Linked DNA regions of Xenopus tropicalis. The protein of the gene in region 2 binds, or shares a complex with, the protein of the main gene of each other region. Links are inferred from orthologs where the notes say so. Each region holds a gene or a part of one and is shown on either strand. Other genes may lie near its edges.

Region 1 (15,696 bases), on a different chromosome or scaffold from region 2:
ATGAACATGAAAAAAAGTTCCTTAAGGATGCAAAATAAGGAACATGATTGACCATTTGGTAGCACCATGTGGACCGATGGCCTGCAGAATGCTCTGTTTGGAGTAAAACTGCGTTTCTGTGCTTCCAAAACTTGCCTCCAAGCCAGAAATGTAAAATTGGCACCTACTTTGCGGATACTGGGAGCAACATTAAAGGGGGTGGTAAGCAATATGTTACTCACGAGCCATTGGTTGCGGATCGCTGGTGTAGGGTATGCAGAGCAGATCCTCACTGGGCAAGCCACTTGTATATTAATTTAATCTCTGACTAAATAACACAGCATTCCTTAGGCACAACATTAAAGTATGAAGCAAAAGGGCTTGGAAAGTGGTTTGTTAATCTAATATTCTGCTTCCGCATTTTCATTTTTTTTTTTTTTTTTTTTTTTATATCTTTATGTTTGGGTTATTTTCTATGTCATCATTACTAAAAAAACAAAATAAGAAAAAAAGATAAAATAGAATATAAAATAAACAGCATAAGTTTAACATACACATTTTATTTTTTATGCAACAGGGAGTTGAGTCACTTACTTATTAAACGAAACAGAACAGAACATTGCCCGTTCACCTAATTTGCTAAAATAAACCCTGGCTTGTCTTTAGAACTCAATCTCAAAATAAACAAACCTGCCTTTTCTTGGTCCCACAGGAGGTTCTTGCATTTTCAACAAAAGCTTTATTATGTAACAAATAACATTCAAATTTAATAAAAAGTTCAACCCCTCTTTGGCACTCAGTGGGCAGTGACTGAAAGCACATGCCAATTCAGCTCTCCCAAAATTGCAGTGCACCGTAACTTTAGTGTGATGATCCAGTAAAACTATTTCCAGTCAGACAATCAGTACAATTAAATGAGATGTAATGGTGGTTCTGGTTCACTCAAGCATTAACTGGGCACATGGTCTTAAAGGGAAACATATTTAATTTACATTGATCCAAAAAGTGTTTAATATAATTTTACATGGGCATGCTCAATTGTCTTAAGATCAGGAGACTGACTTGGCCATTCATTTCCACTTCTTTGCTGTGTGTTTTGGGTCATTGTCCATCTGTATCATGAAATGCCACACAATCAATTTGACTACATTTAGCTGGATTTGAACAGACAGTATGTCTCTTAACACCTCAGAATTTATTCGGCTGCTTCTGTCCTGTGTCACATCATCAATAAACACTAGTGTCCCGGTGCCACTGGCAGCCATGCACGCCCAAGCCATCACACTGCCTCCACTGTGTTTTACAGATGATGTGGTATGCTTTGGATAATGAGCTGTTCCACGCCTTCTCCATACTTTTTTCTTGCGATCATTCTGGTATAGGAAGAGTGCATATGCTGAGGAGTTCCCATACCAGTCAGTTGAACTGAAGAATCTGCTCGGATGAGTAGTGAAACATCTTCAATGATTACTTAACAAGTCCAGTTGCTTTAGATTTATTTATACTAGATATATTATTTATACTAGACATTCTGGTATAGGTTGATCTTGGTTTCATCTGTCCAAAGAATGTTTTTCCAGAACTGTGCTGGCTTTTTTAGATGTTTTTTTAGCAAAGTCCAATCTAGCCTTCTATTCTTGAGGCTTATGAGAGGCTTGCACCTTGCAGTGAACCCTCTGTATTTACTTTGCAGTCTTCTCTTTATGGTAGACTTGGATATCTTGGATACGCCTACCCCCTGGAGTGTTGTTCACTTGGTTGGGTGTTGTGAATGGGTTTTTCTTCACCATGGAAATGATTCTACGATCATCCACCACTGTTGTTTTCCTTGGACGTCCAGGTGTTTTTGCGTTGCTGGGTTCACCAGTGCTTGGTTTCTTTCTCAGGATGTACCAAACTGTAGATTTTGCCACTCCTAATATTGTAGCAATTTCTCGGATGGGTTTTTTCTGTTTTCTTATCTTAAGGATGGCTTCTTTCACCTGCATGGAGAGCTCCTTTGACCTTTGTCTGTTCACAGCAAAATTTTCCACATGCAAGCACCATACCTCAAATCAACTTGACTCAACTACAGACTTGCCAACACCTGCCCATGAAATAGCCTTTGAGCCAATTGTCCAATTACTTTTGACCCCTTAAAATGAAGGGATTGTGTTAAAAAAAATGCTTAAGTTGCCTCACATTTTTATGAAATCGTTTTGTTCACCCCGCTGAATTAAAGCTGAAAGTCTGCAGTTTAACTGCATCTGAGTTGTTTCATTTAAAATTCATTTTGGTAATGTACAGAACCAAAATTAGAAAAAAGTTGTCTCTGTCCAAATATTTATGGACCTAACTGTATGAAAAATGTATATTCCATGCGGACAGGGTACCAAAACATTAAACTTGACAAGTGGCTTACATATAAACTAATGAGTTTCCTTAAGTACCCAGTCATAGCTGAGTCCTCTGTCTGGCTGAGAATTGCTTTTCACCAGTGGCCTCATCCAAAATGGCTGTTTCCTAGCATTATTGCAAATATGAATGGGCAAAACAATTGGATGTGTAGAGTGGTTAGAGATGTAGGTTTGTTGGCTTTACTATAATACTTTATTAGTTATAATTAAGTAAGAAAAAAAGCTTTGTTTAAAGTTGCAGATCATTTTATATCCTGAATAAAACGCATTTTGAATTGATTATCTACCTTCTGCATATAAAAAGTCTGTTCACCAAGGATCTTTAGAGAATATTTGGAGAGGATTTTGAACTATTTGTGAAAGAATTAGAAAATCCCAGTATGTACTTGTTTGTACAAGTAGATTTTTATATCCGTCTGGTGTTGCATTAAATTATTTGTAGATAGTCACTGCACTTCTATGCAAAAGTGAAGAATAAAAGGGGAATAAAGCACTATAAATGTGTTCAGTTTTCATTATTAATACATATAATTGTAACTGTAATTGCAGCCTCCTAATTACCTCAATGGGGCACATCAAGCTTACAGATTTTGGTCTCTCTAAAATTGGGCTCATGAGTCTAACCACAAACCTTTATGAAGGCCATATTGAAAAGGACACAAGAGAATTCTTGGATAAACAGGTAAGCAGAACCAGCAGGTAAAGATTTTCACAGCCATACTGGTATAGATACAAATGTCCAACTTTACTGATCATTAGCTTTGGCTGTTGGGATCTGAGACAACAGCATGCTGGAGAAATAGAGTTTAGATATTGTGGTTTAGTTAGCGACCTGTTAGGTCTTTGTTTTTATTTTCCAATTTATAGTAGAGAAAACTAATTGCCAATTGACTGGTATCAGCAACTGCCCTTTCAGAACCACATATTACTGTATATTTCATTTTGGTTTCATAATGCCATTTTTTCCAATACAGCTTGGGAGTCCATGGTCTGTAGTACATGTTGGTTATTGTAAAGGCCTCCTGACTTTCAGAATCTTTCTATAGTCACTGCATTTGTGTTAAATAGCTGGAACAAGGATTTCTTTTTATATTTGGCAACATTTTTGATCAAAGTAGCAGTAGAGCTATCTCAGGTTTTCTTGGGATGTTAAGATGAAGGTCTTTATTCATAATCCAAAAAACTTGTTGACATGGTTGATGTGAGGACATTGCCAAGGCATTTGTACCTTGGTGTCCTGTACAGCAATAGGGAGAGCTTGTTCTAGAAACATAATTGAGTTTCGCCAGTGTTTAATGGCATCTGTGAAGTCATCTTTTATAATATTCAATGTGATTGGTACATCTTGTAGGTCCTGACCATGGCTGTTGTGTGTTGACATTGATCTAATGTGGTTAAAATTTGTAAAGCTTTTTCCCATTTGATCATATGGGGTGTTTAAAATCTAATGGTACTGTTAGCAAGAATTTGCAACATTCTGAGGGTATTCTCTCATGTTCAGCTCCATGTTGCAAAATGTCAACGAGTTGTTGATGAAAACCTGGCATAGCTTTGGTGTTCTGGACTTATAATAAAATTCACTACAGACCTTTTTTGTCATTCTTCCACCAGGTGTGTGGGACCCCAGAGTACATTGCTCCAGAAGTTATTCTGAGGCAAGGATATGGGAAACCTGTTGACTGGTGGGCTATGGGTGTCATTCTATATGAGTTTTTAGTTGGTTGCGTTCCTTTCTTTGGTGATACACCCGAAGAATTGTTTGGACAAGTCATCAGCGGTAAGTACCTTTCTTTTAGTTTTTTTTTAGCTAACTAAATAACTCGTTTTTTGACCATTGTAAGATTGTATTTAAATGGCTTTAATATATGAAAGTGTTAAAATATTAGAAGTTTAAAAATAAACTCATCTTCCCATCTTGAATTTGGATTGGATCAGTGTACTTTTTGCAGTGCAGATAATAATTCAGATTTTTAAAATGGATTTACTTTTTCCCTGTAATAATAAAAGAGGACATTGTTTTGATCCCAACTAAGATATAATTAATCCTTATCGGATGCAAAATAATCCTATTGGGTTTAATTAATGTTTTATTGATTTTTTAGTAGACTTAAGATATGAAGCTCCAAATTACAGAAAGACTCCTTATCCGGAATACCCTTGGTCCCGAGCATTCTGGATAATGGGTCCTATACCTGTACAAAAGTTAAGTAAAGGATGAAGATAGTGATGGTTATGCACAAATGCATAACTAATAACTGTGCCCTCGTCCCTTCCAACAAGCATCTTCTGATAGGATCAGATGCTGAATAGTGTATCTGTTCTATATCAGACATTGCAGTTTTAAAAACACCAACTCTTATTTACACAATAATGTATGGGTTAAAGTTGCATAGGTATAAATGTTACTCAGCTGACTTCATGGGGTTTTATTAATTAACAGATGAAATTGCCTGGCCAGATGGAGATGATGCTTTGCCTGCAGATGCTCAAGATCTGATATCCAGACTTCTCCGACAAAACCCCTTGGAGAGACTAGGAACAGGTCCGATTTAGTCACAGTTTTCCATAAACCGAGAACACACAACAACATTAAAACCATTATTTGCATTTTATAGGTAGCGCAATTGAGGTTAAACAGCATCGCTTCTTTAAGGATTTGGATTGGAATGGTTTGCTGCGGCAGAAAGCTGAGTTTATTCCCCAGCTAGAATCTGAAGATGACACCAGCTATTTTGACAGTAAGGAAATACTGTACATATTCATTCTGTGTAGCTGTAACATTATCTGTTGTCTATAATGCATGGCAGGGTACGCTGCAAATGTAAAACATTTCTATCAGATCATAGGTATATTTAGTCATAGCCATATCATTTAGCCAAGATATATCATAAAACTATAAACTGTGGCTCTCTAGTACCACTTCTTTTACATTTTGATGACCTACCAGACTCCCTTAAATGCCCATGATTAGTCAATATGCACATGGACCTTATCAGGCAGACTTGCAAATTGGTCAATATACACATGGACTTTATCAGGCAAAGACTTGCAGATTACTGTATGTTTTGGACATTTCATGTCAAAAGCTCTTAAAAATTAATTGGCCAGCAGCAACCATACAGGTTTTAAAATTGATAAGAAGGTTAGGTTAGCAGATGTAGTGACACATATAGCTTTACAAATAGCACTTCTGTGTCTATTGCATAGGATTTATGTTTGCAATACAAAGAGTCCGAACCAGAGAAATTGCTTTGCTGAGTAACTTTGAGCCTGCAGTAACAGTGCACACCACAGATACATGCTAGCAAATCGGTTTAAGATGAAATTGTAGTTGTAAACTTCTCCACTATGCTTTCTAATGCTAAAATACAGATTGTATAGAAAACTAGAGCCTATACACTATTTGAACTCCCTATACTGCATGATTTCTTCTACCTAGAACTTAGTGTAGATGATATAGCAGAAGTTTGCTGGATACATTCATGTGTTTAACAACAACATTTGTTATTGTGGGAAAAACTCAAATATTCGCTTCAAACATTAGTTATCTCCATCTACAATATTTACAAATATCTGTAGTTATTGTTTGAAATCAGTAAATATGTACACACTCTGACTAACTGCTGATCGCACAGCCCGATCTGAAAGATACCAGCACATGGATTCTGAAGAGGAGGAAGACACAAATGATGAAGATCGAGTAGAGATCAGACAGTTTTCATCATGTTCGCCTCGATTTAGTAAGGTAAATCTAGATGCTTTTTTTAAAGTATACAGCAGCTATACATTTAGTCGAGTTTAGGCAAGAACAGCAGCATAAGACCTATTCCCTTGGGTGTTTTCTGATGTCCCATGGCCTCTCACATTCCCATAGTACTCGTGTCATTCTCAGAGGAAGATGCAACATTTATTATGAATACAAAATTGAGTGGAGGGCTAAGTAAGAGACAAGATCGGTTATCTGTTTTCTGGTCTTGGTATCATTTTGGCGACACCACTCCTGTCTCCTGCAACAACCCTTTGCTGACAGAATTCTTTAACCAGCTCCTCTATATCATAAAATGCCATAATGTATATACCCAGTCTTCCTCAGTCACAAAGAGAAAATACACCAATGCTGTAGCTTTTTGGGGTTGGGCTGTGGGTGCTTTCCCATGATAATTGCTGGCTTTGTTTCAAGCTGAAGCAGGTTTGTTACCATGACCATTTGGTTAAAAGCCCTTTAAAAGTGGAACTCAACATAAATTTAAGGTAGCTAAATATCACAGGGCTAATTCACATTCCACTAGTTCACATTAGTTCAGTTATTGTCAGTACACTATGAATAAATACTTTTTAAAGTTGAACTTTAAAACGGATTTGTTTTATTTCTTCTGGTGTTTTCCAGTAGCAGCTCAAGTAAACCAGGTTGCCAACTCTCAACTGTTTGCTACAGTTTGCTACATTAGTGAGTGATGAAGCGCCCAACAATACCTGCCCCTTCAAATTAGTTGGAATCGCTGCATGTAAAACTCATTACATGCAGCAATTGCAGGTAATCATTTCAAAATGCCTCTTTCTGCATTTTCTGACTAATGCAAAGGGGCAGGTATTGTCAGTGTTTCATTGCTCTGTATGTCAGCACCCTAAATTAAGAAAAAGCAACTGCAAAATCTAATTTCTGATTTAGAAGAAAACTATTCAAAAACAATTGAGATGCAAAACTTAAAATACCCCTTTAAGTTGTAATTTTAGACTGTACCTATAAACTGGAGTCTTTTTTATGAAAAAAAAAATCAAAATAAATGTCAAAAATGTCAATAAAATAATGCTTGTACCTGTATAATGGTTCACCTGTTTGTGAGGAGAATTCTAAATATGTCCAGTTGTAGACAACATAAATATGCACTGTTACTGCTTTATTCAGAACATCAATCTGGGAAAAATTTCAAGATTTTAGTTTCCATAATTAGGGAAGGCGAGGTTTGTCTCAACTTCTTGTCTGATAAATGAATCATTCATTTATTTTCTAGCCTGTAGTGAGCGGGGGTGATTAAGTTGGGCAGTCCGGCAGCATTATAGCACCAATAACTGAAGATTCAGTAATGTTGTTTCGGAGTTTAATATTCTGCAGAATGCATCCATACCTTTTCTTTCAAACAATACAAAGCCTAATCCAGTCAAACTGTGCAGGTTTATAGCAGCATGGAGCGCCTTTCCATTCATGAAGAAAGAACTCCTCCACCCACTAAACGCAGCCTGAGTGAGGAAAAAGAAGACAAGTTGGATGGACTGGGTGGGTTGAAGAACAGAGACCGGGGCTGGGTCATCGGATCCCCCGAAATGTAAGGGATTTTGGCAGTTGCCCTATCTCTACAATACATACAGTATATATCACTGTGGCGTTCAAGCCACTTTCTGTTAGTTGGTAAATTACCTGTTATGTGTGAGTGATCATCTAACCTTGTTTTAGATTTGGTTTAGTCACACAACAGCACCATTGAACTATGACACAGCAGTGGAAAATTCTAATGTAACACAAATTTTACATTTGGAGTTACTCCTTACCACTATACGTAATAAAAGGTGCTAAGTTTGCCCAGGCGCAGTTACTCATGAAAACAATAAAACAGGTGACCAGGAAATGCTACCTTCTGATTGGTTAAGTTACTGCACCTGGACAAACTTAGGGGCAGAGAAAATATTCCAAACATTATTTGCATTTTTTCTCAAATCAGACAAAAAAAACAACCTCAATCTCAATAGCATTTTAGTGAAGCAGGTATTTATAAAAATATATAAACATTATAGGCCACTTTTTCATAATGCAGCACAGCAAGTATTAGTATTAGTAACTTGTTTACAAAAAATGACTTAATGTATTGTGATATGTTTTTTTTATAGCTGTTTGGAAAGTATTTTAATCATGGTTTTGTTCTATATTTAGCCTTCGCAAGCGCCTGTCTGCATCTGAGTCTTCTCACACAGAAAGTGACTCCAGCCCACCCCTTACAGTCAGAAGGCGATGTTCTGCGCTGGTTGATATGCCTCGCTTTGCCATCTCCACAGAAGAAGAATTGCACTTACAGAGGAAGCTAAGCCAGTCTCAGCAGGATGCCTTAGCAAGCCCATCGTCTCTCCAAAAAGATGGCAACCCCCTCCCTATCCTAGAGCAGCCAGTGGAAAGGGAACTGAAACTAGATGATGAATTGGTGCCATCTACACCTTCTTCTACAATAAGCAATATTAGCAGCTCAACCACACTGACTGGTAATTACCCAGTACTGTAAGCCTGTAAACCCTCTAGTAATATTCCAAACAACACAATATAGTGCACTTATTTTATGTCTAAGGCTGTTATTTTTTTTCATTCTTTCATTCTTACTTTTACTAACTGTTTGTTTACACCCTTTAAAAATAAGTAAGTTAGTTTCATAGTTAGTTGAAGTCTGTTTTGATGTAGGGATCCTATGCCATAAGGTAAATAAACTTGAAATTCCTCTTATTGTTTCACCAGCTGGCAGCAACGCTGACTTCTCAGACAACAACATCGGCATAGACGTTTCTGAATTTGCCAGTCCTAAAGCCATCAGTGACTTAGCTGTAAGAAGAGCACGCCATAGGCTTCTATCTGGGGATTCTGGCGAAAAACGCCCCTCCAGACCAGTCAATAAAGTGATCAAGTCAGCCTCGGCCACTGCCCTGTCACTCATGATCCCCTCTGGTAAGCAATGCCTCCTACTCCTACCTTAGCACTGTACTGCAGGACACAGTATGGTATTCACATACAAAGTCTGTTTAATTCTAAATATATAAAAGTATTTCAGTATACAGAGATGTCTGATTTTATGGCATAATATATTTCAGACATTATTATTTCATGTTGCTGGCATTTTATGTTATATTATATAAAACTATAACAATCTATATCTCAATGTAGCAATTATAGAAGCACTCACAGGACATGAGAAAGGTCCTCTCAGGAGGAACAAAACATTTACTTTAAATAAATATTTATTGCCCGCTATTAGTCCCATGATTGCTTTTAGTTTTGCCTCATGGATATTATTAATTTTTAAATGAACCTAGGCTAGCGTGAGAATGTGCTAATGAAGTATAGTGACGTATCTGGCCTAGAATGTCATTGTCAATCAATGGGGCATTACAGCGTATTTTGGAATTTCTTTATACTAATCCTGCCCGGTTTAGGTATTTTTTTTTTTTTATAGGAATCTCAATGTTCAAGCACTCTACCCAGAGGTAAAATGATGGTTTTTGCCTATCTACTCATAACTCAGTGCGGCAATAGTGGCGCACAACTGGTGATTTCAGAACTTGAAGATGTCTAAAAAAATCTTAGTGTAGAATTATGTCCTTGTTATAACAGAATGGGTAAATTTGTTCATGTAAACCATTTAGGCAATTAGTGCTTTATAACCTGCTTTGTGTAGATAGACAAAGTTTAAAAAGTCCACAACTCTTTAGTATTAGTTTTGGTTTTCAATTTCACTTTTGAGCTTTTAATTTCTAAACAACTGATTTAATTTTCCAGATTACCATACTTATTCACCTTTGGCCAGCCCTATGTCGCCACATTCGTTATCCTCAAACCCATCCTCACGTGACTCTTCGCCAAGCCGAGATTTTTTCCCAGCTATCTCCCATCTCAAACCACCAATCATCATACATCGGGCAGGAAAGAAATATGGCTTCACTCTGCGAGCCATTCGTGTCTACATGGGAGAAAGTGATGTCTACACTGTCCATCACATGGTGTGGGTGCGTATAAATATATATATGTGTATACATGCTTCTGTGAGAGCACTTTCTATACAGTGTATGTCATAGAAAGAGTTAAACAGTGTTTTAGGACACTGGGCGAGTCTGCTCATCACTAGTAGCAGCACTACATTTACATGTTTATCTTAACAGTATAATGCACTCTTTTGTAGCATGTCGAAGAAGATGGTCCAGCTCATGATGCTGGGCTCCGAGAAGGTGATTTGATCACTCATGTCAATGGAGAACCTGTCCATGGGCTAGTGCACACCGAAGTTGTGGAACTCATCCTGAAGGTACCACTCAACCAGATGCTTAACACTGGTTTGCTTGTATTTGCTTTTTTAGACTAATGGGAAGATGTGTTACATTGGTACCCACATTCTGTCATTTACAGGAGTATTAAAAAAACATTTTTATCTTCACAGCTTTTCACTGTGGACAAGTTTGGCATTTTGTTAGTAGTTGACAATGTTAAGGTGGACATGGGCTGCAGAATATATGTTTCTCAACAGTGGTACTTTAGGGAGCATTTGGAGGGGAGGTCATGGCAGGGAGTTCCAGACACAGGCAGTAGCTTGAGAGGTGAAAGGCAGAAGCAGAGCTGGAATATATGGTGGGGCTTGATTGTTAATGTGAGTGTTAGTAATTTGAATTTGGTTTGAGTCAGTGGAGGAATTACCATACTTGGTCAATTATAAAACCTACACTTTCCAAAATCCAAGGCCAAGGAGAAGCTGTATAGAAAACTGAAAGTTCTGTATAACCACAATAGCTTTTCTTGCTTTTTTTAAAAAAAAAAAAAAATTTGCAATCATGGCATTATTATTAGGGATGCACCGAATCCACTATTTCAGGATCTGGCCAAAGCCTCAATCCGTTGCAATTGATGCGACCTGATCAAATCTGAATCCTAATTTGCATATGCAAATTATGATATGGAAGCGCTAAACACCACCACATGGGTACATTTTTTTTGCGCACGGTGAACTGTTTTCAACTTCAGTGTCTGTGACAAAAAGTTACATGATTTTAAGGATTCTGATTTAGAAAAAGCCCAAATCTTGTCCGAATTCCGAACCAAATCCTGGACTTGGTGCATTCCTAAATATTATTCATAATTGTATCTTGAAATTCACATTTTGTTATATTGTGTTTGTGTGGCAGAGTGGAAACAAAGTTTCCATATCCACTACTCCATTTGAGAACACTTCAATCAAAGTTGGCCCAGCACGGAAAGCTAGCTACAAGTCAAAAATGGCTCGCCGGAATAAGAAGAGCAAACCAAAGGATGGGCAGGAAAGGCAAGTTCATATTCATGATCAGCTGAAATTGAATAAAATGCATATATATGTATGTGTGTGTGTGTGTGTGTGTGTGTGTATATATATATATATATATATATATATATATATATATATATATATATATATATATAATATAATATATATTTGTAAAATCATACATTACAAAGCTTATCTTTCTTGTTATGCACAGCAAGAAAAAGTGTTCTTTATTCCGGAAGATAACGAAGCAAGCATCACTACTTCACACCAGTCGCAGCCTGTCCTCTCTCAACCGTTCCCTGTCCTCTGGAGAAAGTGTGCCAGGTTCTCCCACCCATGTACTGTCCCCTCGTTCTCCTACACAGACTTACAGATCTACTCCAGACTCGACACACTCAGGTATAACTGTGTGAGCAGTTCTCACCTTCTGTTTAGGCAAACCAGAAAATAACAATAGATCTGTTGTTGTGTTGTTTGCTATGCAATGATAGGGGTTGCAGTAATATCTCTCGTCAATTTTGTCCTTTTTTTCCCTTTTCTAGTTGGTGGTAATTCTTCTCAAAGCAGCTCTCCAAGCTCCAGTGTTCCTAACTCTCCAGCCAGTTCTGGGCATATACGACCTAGTTCCTTGCATGGGCTGGCTCCAAAGCTACAAAGGCAATACAGGTCTCCTCGTCGCAAATCTGCAGGGAATATACCACTTTCACCTTTGGCACATACGCCCTCGCCAACATCTCAATCCACCTCTCCACAACGTTCACCTTCACCTCTTCCAGGACACACTCTTGGAAACTGCAACATTCTGCAGTCTTTTCCGGTCAAATTGCACTCTTCTCCACCACTTGTGAGGCAAATATCAAGGCCAAAAAGTGCTGAGCCACCACGATCTCCTTTGCTGAAAAGGGTACAATCTGCAGAAAAGTTATCTGGTTCGTTATCCTCTGAGAAAAAGCTGGCTTCTTCTCGGAAGCACAGTCTGGATATCTCACACTCAGATTTCAAAAAAGAGATAATGCATCGTGACTTAAGTTTGCAGTGCTTGCCAGAGTCTATGAGTGAGAACACTGGTGGCAAAGTAGGGCTGGCAGAAAAAGGGACTCTGCAGAAACCTTCAAGGAAACTTGGTGCTATTCGTCACGATAGGGTTGAAAGAAGGGAGTCACTTCAAAAACAGGAGGCTATTCGTGAGGTGGATTCTTCTGAGGATGAAACTGATGAAGGCTCAGAGGACAGCCAGGATGGGAGGCGGTTAGAGAGAGCTTCATTTAGAAATGAAAAAGTTTCTGCTTCAGCAATCAGCAGTGGAAGAGATTCCTGCCAAAAGCAGAGCAAGAGTAGCACCGAGGATGATTCTTTCCTTCTTCCAGACTACAGAAGAAAGAGTGAGGTGAAAGAAACTGCTGGTAGGAAAGTTATTGATGTCACATTGCAAAATACCCCTGACCAATCTGGGATTCGGTCCTTTTGTAGTCCAAACCTTCCCCCTGATACTTGCCTGATACCTGCTGCAGAAATCAATATGCTAAAACAACAAAACATTTTAAAACGTGAGGTAAATGCTATGCAAATACAAGGTAAACCACTCCAAGAATCAAACCAACAAAGTACAGGCACTGATAGGAAGAACACTCAGAATATTGTGGTGCAAAAAGAAGCAGACTCCTCCTCAGATCCACATCTATGTCAGTCAAGCAAAAGTAGCTGTGTTAGCATTGAAGCTCATTTAGAGGTGCCTAATTGTAAAGAGACTCTTCCTGAAGATGGCTCTAAAGAGTCTGCACTTTCTCTTTCCTCATCTTGCCTAAAGACCACTTCAAATTCTGTTGCAGTACACTGCTCTGCAGGAGATACATGTTCAACTACCAGTACTGCATCAGATGCTTATGTGCAATATTTGCCTGTTGTAAATGAGCAAGGGCAGCAGGAACCTGCTGAAAAGCAAAGCACTTTAAAGGGTATGAACAACTCTGTTTCCACAGAAGCAACCTTGTCTCGAAAAGTGGGTACAGTTTCCTCAACCAACCCTGTGTCCAGTGAGAAAAAACCATTGGTCGCTCATATTGCAACCATGGCTAAAAGTGTCTTGGGACCAGTAAAGCTTAGCATGCCGGGATCAAAAGGTTCAGATGACCATATAAACAAAAAGGAGAAAAATTCAAGGCAAAAGAAATCTGAGCTTTCCAGATCTGAATCAATGCAGGAGAGCATTAGAGAGTTGTCTACAGACACAGGTTTCAGGACATGCACCTCCCTAAATGAGTGCACTCTATCTGCTGTCTCTAAGCAACAAGACTGGACTTCTGGACTTTCTAATAAGTCAGAACGACTAAGAGTATTTGATGTTTTAGACCCTAGAAAAATTCCTCCATCAAAGGACCAGCCACCACCTGCAGATAGATACATGGTGAAATCTCCATCACTCAGCGAGGTCAGCAAAAAACTAAAGAAAGAGGAAACTGTGACTCAAGGGACAAGCAAAGTGATTGGTAGTCACTCCCACACACAGGATGGTCCATCATTACATGCAGATAACAAAAGAAACACATAGCAGTATGTAAATTTGGACTTTTGTTGGCAGCCCCTGCATGTTATACACTAGCATAACTATGTATCGTTTTCATGCCTTTGTTTTTGTTTGTTTTGTTTTCATGTTGCATTGTTTCCCATACATTTATCCTCAAAATTAGTTAAGAACTCATTTCTTTGTAATATATTGCATGCCCCCACACTATTATTTGGGGGTGCTGTAGATATGTTGGTGGAACAGGGTATCTTAAAAGGCAGGGGTATTGTACCCATGCTCAGTAGGATATTGGTGTAGAATTATGTAAAATGGATGTATTTTGGATACAGCCCTTACATCTGTTAGATACACATATGATTTCACTGGCTTTCCATTGCTAAAAGCAAGATTATATTTTATACTTTTCTGGTATTAGGAAATTATTTTTTTAATTTCTTTAAAGACAGCCTAACCCCTTAGAAGGCATATGAAGCAGTCTGGCTTGTTTGTATATATATGTATATGTAGGTTTGAGAAACTGGAAGCCTAAAGTACATCATATCTACAAGAAAAGTAAGACCTCTGAATACAAAGTATGCTTTGTTGCCATAATGTTAAGTAGCAGCAAGAGATCGGGATAGATAGGAGCTGAAAGCAAGCAGCGCATTGTCGTACAGTGCTGGGGAATTTGGCCAGAATGAAGCTGACAAGCTTTTGGCAAACACTTGGTTTTGAAACTACAGACCCCCAGCATTGACCCTGTTTAGGGTTACCTGTATCTGTACAAGAGCACAGACAATGAAGTGAGTAAGTATATTGGAATGGAGAAGGTAGAAAACGTGATACAGTTCTCAGAAACACATTAATTTGTTTCCATGGTGCTCTTTTAATGACCTCTCTAATATAGATTTTATTTTCTTTCAACTCATTCTTTTCTATTGGTCTTTTCTGGTAAGACACCATGCAAATTCCGTAATCATAGGTTCATCACTGAGGATTCTGTATTCGTTCTCCATTTTAAAATCAGTCCATAACTGAAACATGGTAGAATGGTAAGCTGTAGCTTACAGGAGAAGCTTAAAGGGGACGTGAACCCAAAAATAACATTTGAGATAATGAAAGTAAATATAAATGAACAATTTCCGATGATTAAAGCTATTTGTATATGTCAATATATTGAAAGCACTATCTGGCCACTGCCATTTCCTGCACTGCTGGATCTGATCATGAAACAATATATCCGTACTCAGCTCCCATTCAGTTCTCACAATGCCTTGCATATACTGTGATTAACAGTGGGCAAGGAATTGTGGCACTGACTGAGCAACATTGCTTCACTTGTTTTAATGTATATTTAGTCAGATCCAGGCATGGCATGTAATACCAGTTGCATTTACAAATATTTAATACTGCCAGTCTGACATGATTAAATAAAGGGGTTTCCTGAGCAGGAACAGCATACAAGTCCCGATTGGGGGCCAAGAAGTAGAAAAAGGAGGCCCCGTTCTCTTGTGTGGACCTTAATTAATAGCAATTTGGTAATAGCTGAATAAAACAAAGAGTTCAAACTGAACCGTGGAACAAATATTAACCCTGAAAGTGATTCACAACTTTTTAAAAATATTAATTCCTAAATGTATATAGTTTTCCTAGTACTACATTTTAAAAATAGTTATACCAGTTATAAATCCTGTGTGAACTGCAGGGTAAAAAATTGTGTGTTGAATTTGAATAGAATAGTGCTGGATGTCCCTGTAGATCTGAAGGCATAATG
Region 2 (15,696 bases):
TGAGTTGCCGTGACAGACGGGGAGATTGGTCGCCCGCAAAAAAATCTCCACTAAATGCCGGCTAAAATGTAAATCGCCGGTGGGACAGCACACGCGGAAATCGCCAAAGCTGCCTCGAGAGCCAATTTTGGTGCTTGCAAATGCCATCCCACCGGCGATTTACATTTTTGCCGGTGGGACGGCATTTCGGGAGGTCCGCTAATCTCCCCGTGTGCCACAGGCCTAAAGGCGAAATAGCCCTGACCCAACTACCAGTCAGAAGAAAGCCAACCTATAACATTGGGCTGCAAAGTCGCTTTATCTATATTACACTTTTATAAGCACTCAGAGCACTTCCAGTCTAGCTAGGGAGCAACATGGTACTAGTCCCGAGACAGTTCTAAACATGATCGTCCGACAGCGTGGGACATTACAATTTCAAGCCAAAAAAATAAAAACATTTTAAAAAGAATTCTTGGGTAGGTCTCTCCGAATATCTCTCGGGTTGGAAAAAGCACTATATCCTTTAGAAGGAAAGGCAGCTAAAATACATGGCACCCCCATAGGAAAGCATTTATTCATAAACACAAAAGTTCCCCTTCGCATAAAACTAAACTCTTCTTTCCGTTTTATGGTTCCACCCACCTCCCAAATTGTAGGCGTGTATGTACTGCCTGGGGCTAGTGGTGGCCAGCAGACATGTTATCTTTAATGGGATACGACTATCAGAAACTGGCTACATCTTGTGTGAATGGTGCTGTGATGGTTCTTCGACAGATCAGGTTCTCATAACATTATCATTTGATTCCAAATTGCTTTCCCAACGTTTATCAAAGACCCACCAATTGAACCAATCTCCATGTTGGGATTAGAGAAAAGACTTTTACCCAGGCTATGAACCTCAGAGGTAGGGTGGTCCTACTCAAAGGTGGTCCTACTCTGGCATCTGACCATGGACAGATGCCACTGGTGGCTTTACACTTGTATGGCCACCTATGTATTGTTCTGTTCATACAAACAGCCTGAACAGGAAGTAGTAAAGAGCCGCAGTTCCTCTACTTCCTCATGTGACGTTGCACCATACCCTCGACATGACACTTTAGGAGACAACATGAAGCATCTGTGATCTGATTGGATCACCACATGATCAGTCAAGACAGCCCTTACACCCACTGCATACACATGCAAATGGTTGGGAAGTATGGCCAAAATTGAATGTTGGGCCAGCCTACGACATAGCTACTCCCTATATTAAGTCTTCCATCCAGGTCATGATATACAGTATTGAGCAACTGGATCGGGTTTTCTTGAAAACCCTTCACCACTAACCCAAGCAGCTTCTTCAGTTCAACCGTTCATCCAATTGGCTTCTTCTGTTGAACCTGAGAAGCTGCTTGGATGAGTGGTGGAACATTTTCAAGAGAACTCAGAAAGTCCAATTCGTAAAGACTTAATTCTACTAGATACTTCTACTGCATTCTCATCAGTGATAAAGCAAGTTTAGGAAAGGTTATCATACACTGGGTTTGATCTGAAAGGCGGCAATACGAAAGCAAACCCTCAATCCAACTGATCAGTCAGATACCATATCACTAGATACGTAGATGACCACATTCCATTGTTCCTTTAGTTTGGGCCTACGGTTTGGTCATTTCCGATCCAACAGAATCAAAGCATGCTGTTAAACCCAATGCCCGGAGCTGCCACATATACCCAGATGGCAGGGCACTATCATACACACTCTGTCTGGCTCCTATATAAAATTTTGAATAAAACCCTTATTTAGTGGGCGTATATTTCCCTTAACGATAAGACTTAAGACAAATCCATAGCACCAATAATTTTATGAAAGCTTGAAACGTTATGTCACTACACAGCACAGTTTCATTTGTTCATGCAAGAGGGCCACCAATGAGGACGTATATTGTGAGGCTCGTACATCCCTTGTGTACATCCTATCTGCTCTGTTCTCTCAAAAGCCAACACGTTGCTCATCTCAGAGCCAACTGAAAACTTCATAACGGGACAAACGGCCACAGCGATGATCAAAGACCAACAGAGCCTCATCTTCCCTCCTATACCCGGCTCTTCATGCTTTCCCAATGCTTGTTTTTAGTTTAGTGCATCTCCATTAATGTTACAAAATAAGCCAATAAGAGCAGCATGTACTTCTAGAGCAGCGGTTCTCAACCTGTGGGTCGGGACCCCTTTGGGGGTGGAACGACCCTTTTCACAGCGGTCGCCTAAGACCATCGCATTTCATAGGGTCTTAGGAATAATTTTATGGTTGGGGGTCACCACAACACGAGGAACTAGGAAGGTTGAGAACCGCTGTTCTTGAGGAAGCCAAATCTTTACCATCGTCTGTAGCGACCATTTCTACACCTGGAGCAGTTGACATTCAACTCAAAGTACGGGACTAGGCATAACTGGGATAAGGAACTTATCCCCCACCTCTTATGTAATAACAGGCAATACACCTGACCAGGAGCAGTGAGCCATAGCAACCACTAAGATGCTTTAAAACAGATGATCAGTAAAGGCTACCTGCTGATGGTTGCTATAGGTAAAAAGCTCCTCCTTGATCCCAGCTAGGATCCTTTGCTGCTGGCTAGGACTTTACTATTGACCAACAGAGATGGGCAACCTAAAGATTACCAAATATACAAGGCCATGTTTTCTTCCAACCCAACAGGGAAAAAGTCATTAATCCTTCAGTCCCAAGATGAACAACCGAAGAAGAGACCTCGACTACAAAGAAGCTCCCCTTTGATCCCAGCTAGGATCTTACCATATTGACCAATAGAGATGGGCAACCTAAAGATAAGGAAATATACAAAGCCATCTTTTCTTCCAACCCAACAGGATAGAAGTCATTAATGCTTCAGTCCCAACTGAAGAAGAGACCTCAACCGCAAAGGAGCTTCCCCCTTGATCCCAGCTAGGATCTTACTATATTGACCAATAGAGATGGGCAACCTAAAGATAAGGCTAAAGATAAGATACAAGGCCATCTTTTCTTCCAACCCAACAGGATAGAAGCCATTAATCCTTCAGTCCCAACTGAAGAAGAGACCTCGACCGCGCCGCTACGTCCGTTTATACCCAAACAAGAGCTATTTAAGTGAAAGTAGTACTAGGGATCAGGGAAGTATTTGGCTAATAATCCAGAAGCCCCGTTTGCAACCAAAAAAAAAACCAGCAGCCGTGTTTAACTGCCGTCTGGGCGAGAAGTGGGGAAATCTAAAAAGCTACAAATTGGCTTCCACTGTGAATAAACAAAAACACTGCCAGTTCAGATCTCTAATAGTTTAATAGCAATCATACCATAATAGAATATTTGGGACACTTTATATTTTTTTTTTTTTTTTTGAAATACACAACTTTTATATCTGTGCAGTGTTGGAAAAAAAAAAAAGTTTAAAGCAACAGTGGCTCCTAAACCACGTGTAAATTAAAAAAAATATATATGTATATATAAAAAAAAAAAAAAAAAAAGAAAGACATTGTAGGTACTAAACATTCTTCAAGTAAAATTCCCTAACAGTTAATGACATTAAAAGTGTGCAAAACTGCAAAACGCATTGTAATAGAATGTGTACGATTTTTTTAAAAAAAAAAACAACGAAAACAAAAAAAAAAGTGGACCTGCTGACTGTAATGAATTTTACCCTACGCATCATGCCGGCTTGCCTTTCTTTTTTTTTTTTTTTTTTTTAAACCTATAAATTAAATCGATAGAATCACATTGAAATATCCTGTGCACCAATAAAAATGGATGTTGAATGAAAAGAGTAAGGGACCGGGAAAAAAAGTTGCAGGCAGCACATAAAGCATTCACAGCACGTACGTTGGGAATCAATGCAATAACTGGGGGGTAAGTGATTATCAGATCTGCCCCCACATGGGGGAAAACTGGCCCTGCTTACACAAGAGATGGAACAGCCAATAGAATGGAGGGATGGGGTAATAAAAAATGCCAATGTTTATTCGCTGTGTTGGTGAATGAAAACAAAAAGAGGGTTCCTGTACCTGCGTAACACAGAATCGCTCCCTACAGCTGCCCTTTCTAGCACCATTTGCTTTCAAAAAATATAAACGCACAAAAAATGAAGCAGCATTCCTTATTATGTTCCGGATTGGTTTCTCATCATAGCATGCTAAGGGGGAGGGGGGGGAAACAAAAAGGGGGCGTGGCAGAAGACACCACGCGGTGAATGCGGCTGGAATTGCGTTACTAAGCATCCCCCCTCGTTACCCCGCCCCATCTAAACGCAACGAAACCCCCTCGGCACGATGCGCAAGGTTACCTATTGCGTAGAGCCGGGGGGGGGGGGGGGGGGGGGGGTGTCACAATGCACGTGATTGGTTGTTTTTTTTTTTTTTAGTTGGTGACACAAACACATAAAAAAAAAAAAAGAAAAAAAAAAGGCATGATTGCTAAAGTATACAAATCTCCACTTTCAAAAAAAAAAAAAAAACCTGGAATAAAATGGGAAAGTGCCATCTTTATTTAACCTAATTAAGATATATATGTCCTCAGACATGAAAAGGGTATATACATAACAACGCTACGTAACCTTTTCATTCACGATTTTTTTCGCCCGTCTCTCTCTTTCCGTTTGGGCAGCAGCGCCATTAACACCTCGCTGGCAGGATTGGTCAAGGAATAGATAATTGCTCCTATAACTTGGTGTCTGACACAATGTCACATGCCGGGTTTTTTGTTTTTAAAAAGGTCCTTTTTTTCTCAGTTTATTCAAGTTTGCATTCCTGTGTGGTTTTCCCTCGATTTAAAAAAAAACAAAAAAAACAAAAAATTGGGGAAAAACAAAAAAAAGAGGAAAAAAAAAAAACACAACAAAACCCCCTTCAGACTTTTGTAATTTGTGTGATCTGATCTTCATCAAAAGGTTCATTCTCTGGATCAGAGTCAGTGGTGTCAGAATATCGATAATGATCAGGTTCATTGTCACTAACATCCGGCGTTACAGAGGTTGAGCTGCTAGCTTCCGAGTTTGAAGATTCTTCTACTGTCTTGGTGAAAAATAGCTTCACCTACGGGCGGAAAAGAAAGAGTTAAGTGTCAGGATCCCAAGCAGTTGGCCTAATGTTAGAGTAAACCCCCAGCCAGGAGTGATAAGGATCAGCCAATCTATGTTTATGCCTCATTGATGGATAATTTCCTGAGTCAGATTAGGGTTCTTCTTCTCTGTATATAATACTTAAGGGGCACATCCCTAAAGATCCCCATACACTGTAAGATCCACTCGCTTGGCGAGATCGCCAAGCGAGCGGATCTTCCACCGATATCCCCACCTACGGGTGGTGGGCGATATCGGGGAGCTTGAAGTTAAAAAAAAAAAAAAAAAAAAAAAAAAATCCGATCGTTTGGCCCTGGGGCCAAACGACCGGATTATGTAGGCGGCAATGGGGCAGTCGGTTCGGGGACCGCATCAACGAGCCAATGCAGCCCCCGATCCGACTGAATCTTTTAACCTGGCTGATCGATATCTGGCCAATTTCAGGCCAGATATCGGTTGGCCAGCCCGCTCGTTTCTGCCCCTACACGATAAGCTGCCGAGTTGGTCCAAGGGACCGATATCGATAGCTTCTATCAGGCCCGTGTATGGGGGCCTTTATAAAGGAACAGTAACAAAAAAAAATGAAAGCTTTAAAGTAATTAAATTATAATGTATTGTTGCCCTGCACTGGTAACACTGGTTTATATAAATAAAGGTGCCCATACACGGGGCAATTCTAGTTGCCAATATGGGTCCCTTAGACCGATTCGGGGCACTACCAACGGGCCTGCCCGACCGATATCTGGCCTGAAATCGGGCAGATTAAAAAAATCTAGTCGGATCGGGGACTGCATCGGCTCGTTGATGTGGTCCCTGGATCGACTTTGCCTATACCCGTCGTTAAAATAGATTCTCCCGATATCGCCCACCCATCGGGATATCGGGAGAAGATCCGCTCGCTTGGCAACATCACCAAGCGAACGGATCTGAGGGTGTATGGGGACCTTAAGCTGCTGTGTAGACATTGAAGCTGGTAAAAGGAGAAAAGCCACAGGATACATAGCAGATAACAGATAAACTCTATAGAATATAAAGGTGTTTTATCTGTTATCTCCTATGTAACCTGTGCCTTTTTTTCCAGATTGAATGTCTGCCCCCATATTTATATAAACTATAGTAGTGTCTCTAAGGCAAAAATACAACTTTTACACCAGTGCAGGGCAACAGTATATTACATGGTAATTATGTTTATACAGTTTCATTTTTTGGTGTAACTGTTCCTTTAATAAAGCTGCTAAGGAAGGGGTGGCCCCGTGGATTTCTGTGTCTCGTACATACGCATTCACGCCGCACTTCCATATCGGTCCGGTCGATCATATGCATTGAGCATATCTGTTTTTACCACTTGCCTATTGCCTTTCCCCTGCCTCTTCTGCTGCTTGGGCTTCCCCCCAAACAAGCAAGCGGCTCATTTGCAGTAGGAACAGTGGCATACTGACAGTCTGGCCCCTGAAGATCAGTATGCCAGTTACCAGCCACTAATAGTGGGGAGAAGACAGATGGGGCGGCCACGATTTGTAAAAAAATTACCCGCAGCGACAGTGAGCCCCGTAGCTGGCTAAGTTACCACATCCGCATGGGTACTAGTCACCGTCATTCTAGCTAGCTTGCAATTAGTAGCTGCAATTTTTCAAAATCGCCGCGACTAATAGTGAAGTCTGCCTTCGCCTATAGAGAGACACCTCAGACCTGGTTACTATGCACTTGATGAGAGATACGGCAGAAGAAAAGGCTGTCCAAACAAGTGAGAACAATGGAGACAAGCAGCAAAGCTGAACAGCAACATGAATCCAGGCAAACATAGCAAAGAATAAAGATATATTCAGTGTCTAATATTTACATTAGACAAAGACACATCTCTATTTTCTATCAGTAAAAGCGGCCAGCTAATCACCTGCAGCGGGAGATAACAGGGGAAAGAGGCAGCAGATGTTACTATAATATATATAATATAGCTCTAACACACAGACACAGTGTGTGCATTACATACACAGGGCCATGGAATATACTACAGTGGGAAATAGTAAATGGGCAGGGCTGAGAGGTCTAGAGAAAGATTATGGCCTACGGCACATCAGACGATTCTTTGCTTATACAGGTATGAGACCTGAATCCTTGGGGCCTGGGGTTATCTGCATAAGGGGTCTTTCTGTAATTTGGATCTCCATACCTTAAGTCAGGGGTCCCCAACCTTTCTTACCCGTGAGCCACAGTCAAATGTAAAAAGACTTGGGGAGCAACACAAGCACCATAAAAGTTCATGGAGGAGCCAAATAAGGGCTGTGATTGGCTATTAGGCAGCCTCTATGCACCCTATCAGCTTACAGGGGGCTTTATTTGGTAGGAAATCTTGTTTTTATTCAACCAAAACTTGCCCCCAAGTCAGGAATTCAAAAATAACTCTCTGGTTTGGGGTCACTGAGAGCAACATCCAAGGGGTTGGGGAGCAACATGTTGCCCCTGAGCCACTGGTTGGGGATCCCTGGCTTAAATCTACTGAAAGATCATTTAAACATTAAATAAACCCCATAGGACTGTTTTGCCTCCAATAAGGTACAAGGTACTATTTTATAATTAGAGAAAAAGGAAATTTCTAAAAAAAATTTTAATTATTTTATCAAAAAAGAGAGTCTATAGAAGATAGCCTCTCTGTAATTTCGAGCCTTCTGGATAACAGGTTTCTGGATAATGGATCCCATACCTGTAATAGCAATGTACTGAAGCTTGCCCACGACCTAACACTACCAGCCTTTGCCTTCAGTTTTGTGACATCATTGCAGGGTGGGATGGACGCGGGCCTATAAATACAGGGCAGAAGCTGGGTCGGGTAGGAAGTGGGCAGGTTAGGGGCGACTTTCTCACTCTGCACATCACTACTAATCACAGCTACTGTAGGCAGGTAATGGAGAACTCTCTGTGCAATTGCTGCAACCAGGGGAGCCTCACTGTGATTGGTCGCAATGCTATGTATTGCAGTTCAGTCAGCTGGCAGTGAGGATTCCTGCCGAGCATGTAGCTCAGTAAATGCCAGCTGAAGCGCCCCTCGGAGGGTATGTCAGATGCCAGCCATTTGGCTGCAGGGTACAGTACATTTGTGCGTTCCATCAAACAAGGCTTTGGGTACTTACTTTGAAGTTTGGAGAGAATAATCTGTTGGCTTTGTCTTTGTTAGCTTTATCTAGGTCGTTTTTAGTTAAAGTGAGGGTGAGATATTCCTTGTCATTATCTGAACGTTCTGTACTGTATATGCCATCAAGCTCCTGCTCCCCGACTAACGTTCCATTTTCTACTTTTTCTGAATACTCTTCCGGTCCTGGTATGAAGAATGTGTTTATCCAAAAATGGAACATCTTTTCCTGAAAACAAAAAACACAATTTTTTTTTTAGTAAACAGTGCTGCAGGAAATAACCTTCAATGGCTTCGTAAAAATGAAAAAGTATTCAAAAGGAGCTGTGTGGACTGGGCCAGGAGCGGCCATGTTGGTAAAGCCATGGCTGTGGACTGGGCCAGGAGTGGCCATGTTAGTAAAGGTATGGCTGGGGACTGGGCCAGGAGTGGCCATGTTAGCAAAGGTATGGCTGTAGACTGGGCCAGGAGTGGCCATGTTAGTAAAGGTATGGCTGGGGACTGGGCCAGGAGTGGCCATGTTAGTAAAGGTATGGCTGGGGACTGGGCCAGGAGTGGCCATGTTGGTAAAGGTATGGCTGTGGACTGGGCCAGGAGTGGCCATGTTGGTAAAGGTATGGCTTGTGTGTGTAGAGGACACGAGTCATCCAAGTAACGGTCATTTATAAGGAATATTTGCCTCTTGTAGGTGTGTGGGGAGTCACGAATGGCATTTGACCCCTTGCAAATTAGACCCTCTCCAGCACTACAGAATGGCTATTTCCATTGATACAATGGAACTGGTTTCTATGAACTACAAACATTACAGGCTCTAAAGTAAACACTGGATAGCTGTCACGAGGTCTGACTGACCACTGGTGGAACGCACAAGTACTTTAACACTTTGTAACCAACAGAGTCCATTGCCGATATCAAACAAAAAGCCAAAGAGATGTTTTAGTCAGCCAACTGCACATCAGGCATTTTGTCAACCACTGCCCCCAGTTGATGAACAGCGGAGGACAAACAACCCCCCCCCCCACATCTGTCATTACGGAGACTACTACTGAATGTGCCCTATTCAATGCACACAGAGCTGAAACAGATGGCCCTCTCTGCATGTCACTGCTTTACGTTTTTATCCTGTAGTATTTGGATTAATGACAGGTGGAGAGGGGCATTTTGTCTGCGCCTCTGTCTGTGGGCAGTGGGGGATAAAATGCCCCATGTGCCATAGGCCAAAGAGCACTGATAAGATGTCTGCTCTGCCAATTAATGCCTTTAGATTAGGGGATATTAATCGCCCATGATAAATCTCTACTACTGTGGGCGACTAATCTCCCCGAAAAGCTCTCCCACCAGCAATAAATGGAAAAGGCCTAAACCTCGAAGTTGCCTGCAGAAGGAAACACTGCGCCAGTGAAAATGCTTTTTGGGAGATTAGTTGCCCAAGGTACCAGAGATTGATGGTGGGCGACTGATCTCCCAGTGGTGCATTAGCCTTAGTTGCCTGAGATAGATCTCCGCAATGTATAAGCCTTTCCACTGGCGATTGGAAAGGCATTTTAGTCACCAGTGGTAGCAGATGACTAAATCACTCTGTAGGACATTAGCTTTAGTGTGGCTTTGGGCGATTTCTTAAACAAGCAATGAAATAAACAAACAATGAAAAGGCTATTTCGGTTGTATAATCTACAGCTGGTATAGAGAATGGTATATATAGTTAATGTGAGTTGAATAGATAGGTTGGTAAGACTGTCTATATGTGCACTGGGGTTCATTTGGAAGGGTTGAACTTGTTGGACTTTGGTCTTTTTTCAACCCAACTTAACTATATTATATATGTGTGTGTTTTTCTGAACAGGAGATTTTCAGAACTCCCACATGTTGCATTATTTGCCTTTTTTGACAAGTTTACAAAAGCAAAACGTCTTATTCCAATCCAAACCTTATTTCCGTGTAAGATAAACAAGGGCCTACTTGCCTGTGTAAATAAATTCCATCAGTTATACAAAAGCATAAATAGTGCGGTCAACATTTAGGGCGCTGTAGCACACAGCAGATTGACTAACAGTGGTTCCCAAGGAAACCAATGGCAAGAACAGAGGACTACTTATTAGAAAAGATAAAAAATGCCCTGTGACTGGGGGGTATAAAGACATTGGCTAGTGGCTGTGCTTAAATGCAGGAAGAGAAACAGCCCCCGCTGCAGCCTGAGAGTCGGCCCCGTGTGTGACTTGCTATCACAAGTAGCTGTGATTAAAGTACATGCCCCACAGCCCCAATGTTTAGTCTACAGTGCCACAAGTGTAAATGATCAACTGATAATCAATGCTGTCAGATAAAGGCTACTTTGTTGCAAAGGAAGAACAGTTTGCTTTATTTTTTATGATTCCTTTCTTCCTCAAACGATAAAAAAAAAACCTACAATATTCCACAGTGCCTTCACGCATGAGCCACCAATGGGAAGGCAAGGAGAGATGAAGCTGGCGTTCGTTCCCACAGGTCAGGGTTCAGCCTTAAACTAGTGTGTGGCTCTGTTTCACAGGGTGTACTTGCAAGTAGCTTGTGTGTAAATATTTAATTCAAGTGACAGAGCAGAGGTATGGCTGATAAGAGCCGGTCATTTATAGTTAATTACAGCTACACGTGATGCAAATAACGTCCCAGATGCAAACGTTCACATCGCCATACAGATTAAACAGGAATATTAGTCGGAATAAATGGACCAGACATTCTCTTTATGAGTGTGTGTGCACCACGTTTGTGCCAGGGCACCGTACCCAAAGCTGCCAGAGTCTTCAGGGGCAAGAAATCCAACGCCGTAAGGGTGAAGACACACTGAGCTACTAGTAGCAGCTACTTTTTCATGGCTACTAAACTCCAGAAAATCCCCTGCCATAGACAATACCGAGAACTGACCCTGCTAAAACACACGTAGAGACAATTATCAGTAAATAATCAGCATTGTCTATTTTAGTAGCCACGACAAGTAGCTGCTACTAGTAGCTCCGTGTCTCTTCACCCTAAATGGACACTTGTGCAGTTGTTGTGTAACCGTGTGTGAACATATTTATAACATTGCTTAGAAAAAAAATAAGCCACACTAACCTTTTTCATCACTTTGTTCTGTTTGTGGAAAAATTCTACCTTGATATCCCCGCAAACGGGCAAAGGCTGGGGGAAATCAAAATACATCAACTTCTCGATGCGCTTGGGACCTGCTGTTGAGGTGAAGATCTTGACTTTCAGCTGGTAAACGACAAACTGGGGATCTAGGAGAATACAGAGAGGTTGTTAGTTGGTCTGAAGGAAAGCAGGTTATTGAGAAAGAAAAGCCTGTTGTTCTAGGGTGAAGACACACAGATACTAGTAGCAGCTACAGATACAGACAATGCTGATCATTTACTGATAATTGTCTCTACGTGTGTTTTAGCAGAGGCAATTCTCAGTATTGTCTATGGCAGGGGATTTTCTGGCATTTAGTAGCCGTGACAAGTAGCTGCTACTAGTAACTCTGTGTGTCTTCCTTAATGTCACATCAGAGATCTGATGTCTGCACCATTGTATCATTTAAACCAGTGTTTTTCAACCTTTTTTGGGGAAAGGCACACTTGTTTCATGAAAAAAATCACGAGGCACACCACCATTAGAAAATGTTAAAAAATTTAACTCTGTGCCCAGCAGCAGTGCCCCCCTAGTACACTGGTGCCCAGCAGCAGTGCCCCCCTAGTACATTGGTGCCAAGAGCAGTGCCCCCCTGTTACATTGGTGCCCAGCAGCAGTGCCCCCCTAGTACATTGGTGCCAAGAGCAGTGCCCCTCTAGTACATTGGTGCCCAGCAGCAGTGCCCCCCTAGTACATTGGTGCCAAGAGCCAGCCCCCCTAGTACATTGGTGCCCAGCAGCAGTGCCCCCATAAGTCAGTGTGCCCCGTGGCCCCCCTTAATACATTGGTGCCCAGCAGCATTTTACTCTTCGGCGGCTTCAGCAGCATCTTCCCCTCACGCGCGCCGCCTCTGCACTTCTGCCTACACGCGACCGCACACAGGCCCTTTTATAACGTTGCGCCCCGTGCGTACTGACGTCACCCATACACACGGGGCGCAACCAATGACAGGGCTCGGATTTTTTTTAAAGTAAAAATTGCGGCCCTGCCTACGGCACACCAGGCAACATCTCGGAACAGCGGTTGAAAAACGCTGATTTAAAAGATGTGGTTTATTTGCTTATAATCATCCCTTGGAGTAGGGCCCCAGCCTCTATTCTTAGAGGTCTTGCAAGCATTTTCCCATGTTATAGTTTATAAAGAAAATGACATATACATATTTTGGCAATGCCCTATTAACTAGGACTATTGGGGAGGGGGGGGTTGTAGTTACTGGAATGAAACTCTGCTATACAAGCCCGGCTTCTTTGGCCCATGGTGATCAATGTTTTGCATTTCTAGCCTGTTCTTTGTTAGGCTTTAGTTGTCCATTATTAAAGGAATTTGTGTACTAGCCTTAGGCCACAACAGCCCATTAGCAATATTGATGCCCCCAGTAGCTTCCCATCTTCTTTTCTGCCGATGCCCTGGGCTGCCGCCATTTACCTCACTAACAATGTATAGTATACACACAATGTAAATTCACCATACAATGCTGAATTCACATTTGCAATATAGGGCAGTAAACAAACTAGTCCATTCTCTGGAATCCCATTATCTAGAAAGTTCTAAATTACAGAAAGTCTATGGGAGATGGCCTATTATAAGCAAATCATTCTAATTACTGAAAATTATTTCCTTTTTCTCTGTAATAAAACAGTACCTGTACTTGATCCCAAGATATAATTACCCCTTATTGGGGGCAGAACAGCCCTATTGGGTTTATTTCATGGTTAAATGATTCCCTTTTCTCTGTAATAATAAAACAGTACCTGTACTTGATCCCAACTAAGATATAATTACCCCTTATTGGGGGCAGAACAGCCCTATTGGGTTTATTTCATGGTTAAATGATTCCCTTTTCTCTGTAATAATAAAACAGTACCTGTACTTGATCCCAACTAAGATATAATTACCCCTTATTGGGGCAGAACAGCCCTATTGGGTTTATTTAATGGTTAAATGATTCCCTTTTCTCTGTAATAATAAAACAGTACCTGTACGTGATCCCAACTAAGATATAATTACCCCTTATTGGGGGCAGAACAGCCCTATTGGGTTTATTTAATGGTTAAATGATTCCCTTTTCTCTGTAATAATAAAACAGTATCTGTACTTGATCCCAACTAAGATATAATTACCCCTTATTGGGGCAGAACAGCCCTGCTGGGTTTATTTAATGGTTAAATGATTCCCTTTTCTCTGTAATAATAAAACAGTATCTGTACTTGATCCCAACTAAGATATAATTACCCCTTATTGGGGCAGAACAGCCCTATTGGGTTTATTTAATGGTTAAATGATTCCCTTTTCTCTGTAATAATAAAACAGTACCTGTACTTGATCCCAACTAAGATATAATTACCCCTTATTGGGGGCAGAACAGCCCTATTGGGTTTATTTCATGGTTAAATGATTCCCTTTTCTCTGTAATAATAAAACAGTACCTGTACTTGATCCCAACTAAGATATAATTACCCCTTATTGGGGCAGAACAGCCCTATTGGGTTTATTTCATGTTTAAATTATTTTTACCAGACATAAGGTATGGAGATTCAAATTACAGAAAGATCCCTTATCCGTAAAACCCAGGTCCCGAGCATTCTGGATAACAGGTGCCACAGTACCGACTACTATGACAGGGGTTGGATCAGGCTCATTACTTTTATAGAGCTGCCGACGTTCAGCTAGTTGGTTGCTAGGGTCTAGCTTATCTTAGCAACCAGCTAAGAATATGAATAATGACGGGGCTTTGATAGAAAGATAAGAAACAAAGTTAAAACAACATTGTAAGATCACAGACCAATAGCATTCTAGCTGCCGGGGTCACTGACTGCCATTTGAAAGTTCAATAGATGTAGAAGAGAGGAAGGCAAATAATTTAAAAAAGTAGAAAAAATAATACAGACCAAGTTTCTAGAAACAGAACATTTTATAACATATTAAAAGTTTACTTTAAACGGCGCAGGCATAAATGTGGCCTTAGACTAGAGAGACTGTCAGCTTTTGTTGGGGGAGGGGATTTTTTTCTCATTTATGTAGGAACAAAGTCCTGTTTGAATTCTACTACCGCATTGGAGATACTGTAGATATATATATATATGTGCATGGCTTGCATCTTGGCAGAAAATAAAAACTGTTTTTACTATAAAGGGGGGGTTACCAGATGCAAAGGGATCAGATGCCCGGGGAAAATAATTGATATTTACATAATTAAAGGGCCCTTGACACCCGGCTGAATGGATCAGGTTTTATTGCCTAGTTACCAAATAGAAAGAATAACTGTCCTTGTTTACAAGCGGGACAGGAAAATCTCACCCACCTGCTTCTCTGGCTACACAATCCTATGGCACCGCCGCAGCTCCAGCTACGCTGCACGGCTTCTGCCAGGGGTATCTATCTACAGGCATGTGTGCACTGCAGCTTGTCAGATACCGGCCCCCAGGCATCCCCGACACCCCGGCCACCAGGGGAAGGGACCCAGGCCCCCCCCAGCCACCAGGGGAAGGGACCCAGGCCCCCCCCCGGCCACCAGGGGAAGGGACCCAGGCCCCCCCCGGCCACCAGGGGAAGGGACCCAGGCCCCCCCCGGCCACCAGGGGAAGGGACCCAGGCCCCCCCCGGCCACCAGGGGAAGGGACCCAGGCCCCCCCCGGCCACCAGGGGAAGGGACCCAGGCCCCCCCCGGCCACCAGGGGAAGGGACCCAGGCCCCCCCCGGCCACCAGGGGAAGGGACCCAGGAACCCAGGCCCCCCTCGGCCACCAGGGGAAGGGACCCAGGCACCCAGGCCCCCCTCGGCCACCAGGGGAAGGGACCCAGGCACCCAGGCCCCCCTCGGCCACCAGGGGAAGGGACCCAGGCACCCAGGCCCCCCTCGGCCACCAGGGGAAGGGACCCAGGCACCCAGGCCCCCCTCGGCCACCAGGGGAAGGGACCCAGGCACCCAGGCCCCCCTCGGCCACCAGGGGAAGGGACCCAGGCACCCAGGCCCCCCTCGGCCACCAGGGGAAGGGACCCAGGCACCCAGGCCCCCCTCGGCCACCAGGGGAAGGCACCCAGGCCCCCCTCGGCCACCAGGGGAAGGCACCCAGGCCCCCCTCGGCCACCAGGGAAGGCACCCAGGCATGATAAAGTCTCACACAACTGGTGATTCAAGGGCCAAACACTACACAGAAAATAAGCAGAGCTGCTTTCTCTAGAGAAACTCTAGAAACTGCTCCATTTAGGTGACGATGGGCCTCCGCCCTTTAAATCAAAGGTGCAAAGACTGCACAGCAGATAACAAGGTTGCACCCTCTAATCAATTCACAGGTTAGCGTTTCCAGCCATGTGAAGTGGCAGCTTAGGTGTCAGTAAGGTGTAGATAGAAGCCCGGCGG

Evidence for each region.
Region 1: the proteins of pten (region 2) and mast2 are in contact, whole or in part, in an NMR structure (PDB 2KYL), measured with the Homo sapiens proteins. The link is inferred for Xenopus tropicalis from reciprocal best matches to the Homo sapiens genes PTEN and MAST2. Residues at the interface, in NP_000305.3 of Homo sapiens: Pro391, Phe392, Asp393, Glu394, Asp395, Gln396, His397, Thr398, Gln399, Ile400, Thr401, Lys402, Val403; in NP_055927.2 of Homo sapiens: Lys1112, Lys1113, Tyr1114, Gly1115, Phe1116, Thr1117, Leu1118, Arg1119, Ala1120, Ile1121, Arg1122, Val1123, Tyr1124, Met1136, Trp1138, Glu1141, His1170, Val1174, Ile1177, Leu1178, Leu1191.

What each region holds. Positions count from the first base shown.
Region 1 is NC_030680.2:92,380,010-92,395,705, forward strand, and holds the end of mast2 (microtubule-associated serine/threonine-protein kinase 2), read left to right. Parts: intron 1-2,924; coding exon 2,925-3,057; intron 3,058-3,986; coding exon 3,987-4,152; intron 4,153-4,815; coding exon 4,816-4,917; intron 4,918-4,990; coding exon 4,991-5,113; intron 5,114-6,010; coding exon 6,011-6,120; intron 6,121-7,547; coding exon 7,548-7,699; intron 7,700-8,301; coding exon 8,302-8,624; intron 8,625-8,871; coding exon 8,872-9,078; intron 9,079-9,906; coding exon 9,907-10,133; intron 10,134-10,306; coding exon 10,307-10,429; intron 10,430-11,300; coding exon 11,301-11,437; intron 11,438-11,630; coding exon 11,631-11,818; intron 11,819-11,961; coding exon 11,962-13,967; 3' UTR 13,968-14,117; downstream 14,118-15,696. UniProt on the Homo sapiens protein: Appears to link the dystrophin/utrophin network with microtubule filaments via the syntrophins. Phosphorylation of DMD or UTRN may modulate their affinities for associated proteins. Functions in a multi-protein complex in spermatid maturation.
Region 2 is NC_030683.2:12,933,841-12,949,536, forward strand, and holds the end of pten (phosphatidylinositol 3,4,5-trisphosphate 3-phosphatase and dual-specificity protein phosphatase PTEN), read right to left. Parts: intron 11,445-15,696; coding exon 11,281-11,444; intron 8,420-11,280; coding exon 8,192-8,419; intron 5,038-8,191; coding exon 4,852-5,037; 3' UTR 4,468-4,851; downstream 1-4,467. UniProt on the Homo sapiens protein: Dual-specificity protein phosphatase, dephosphorylating tyrosine-, serine- and threonine-phosphorylated proteins.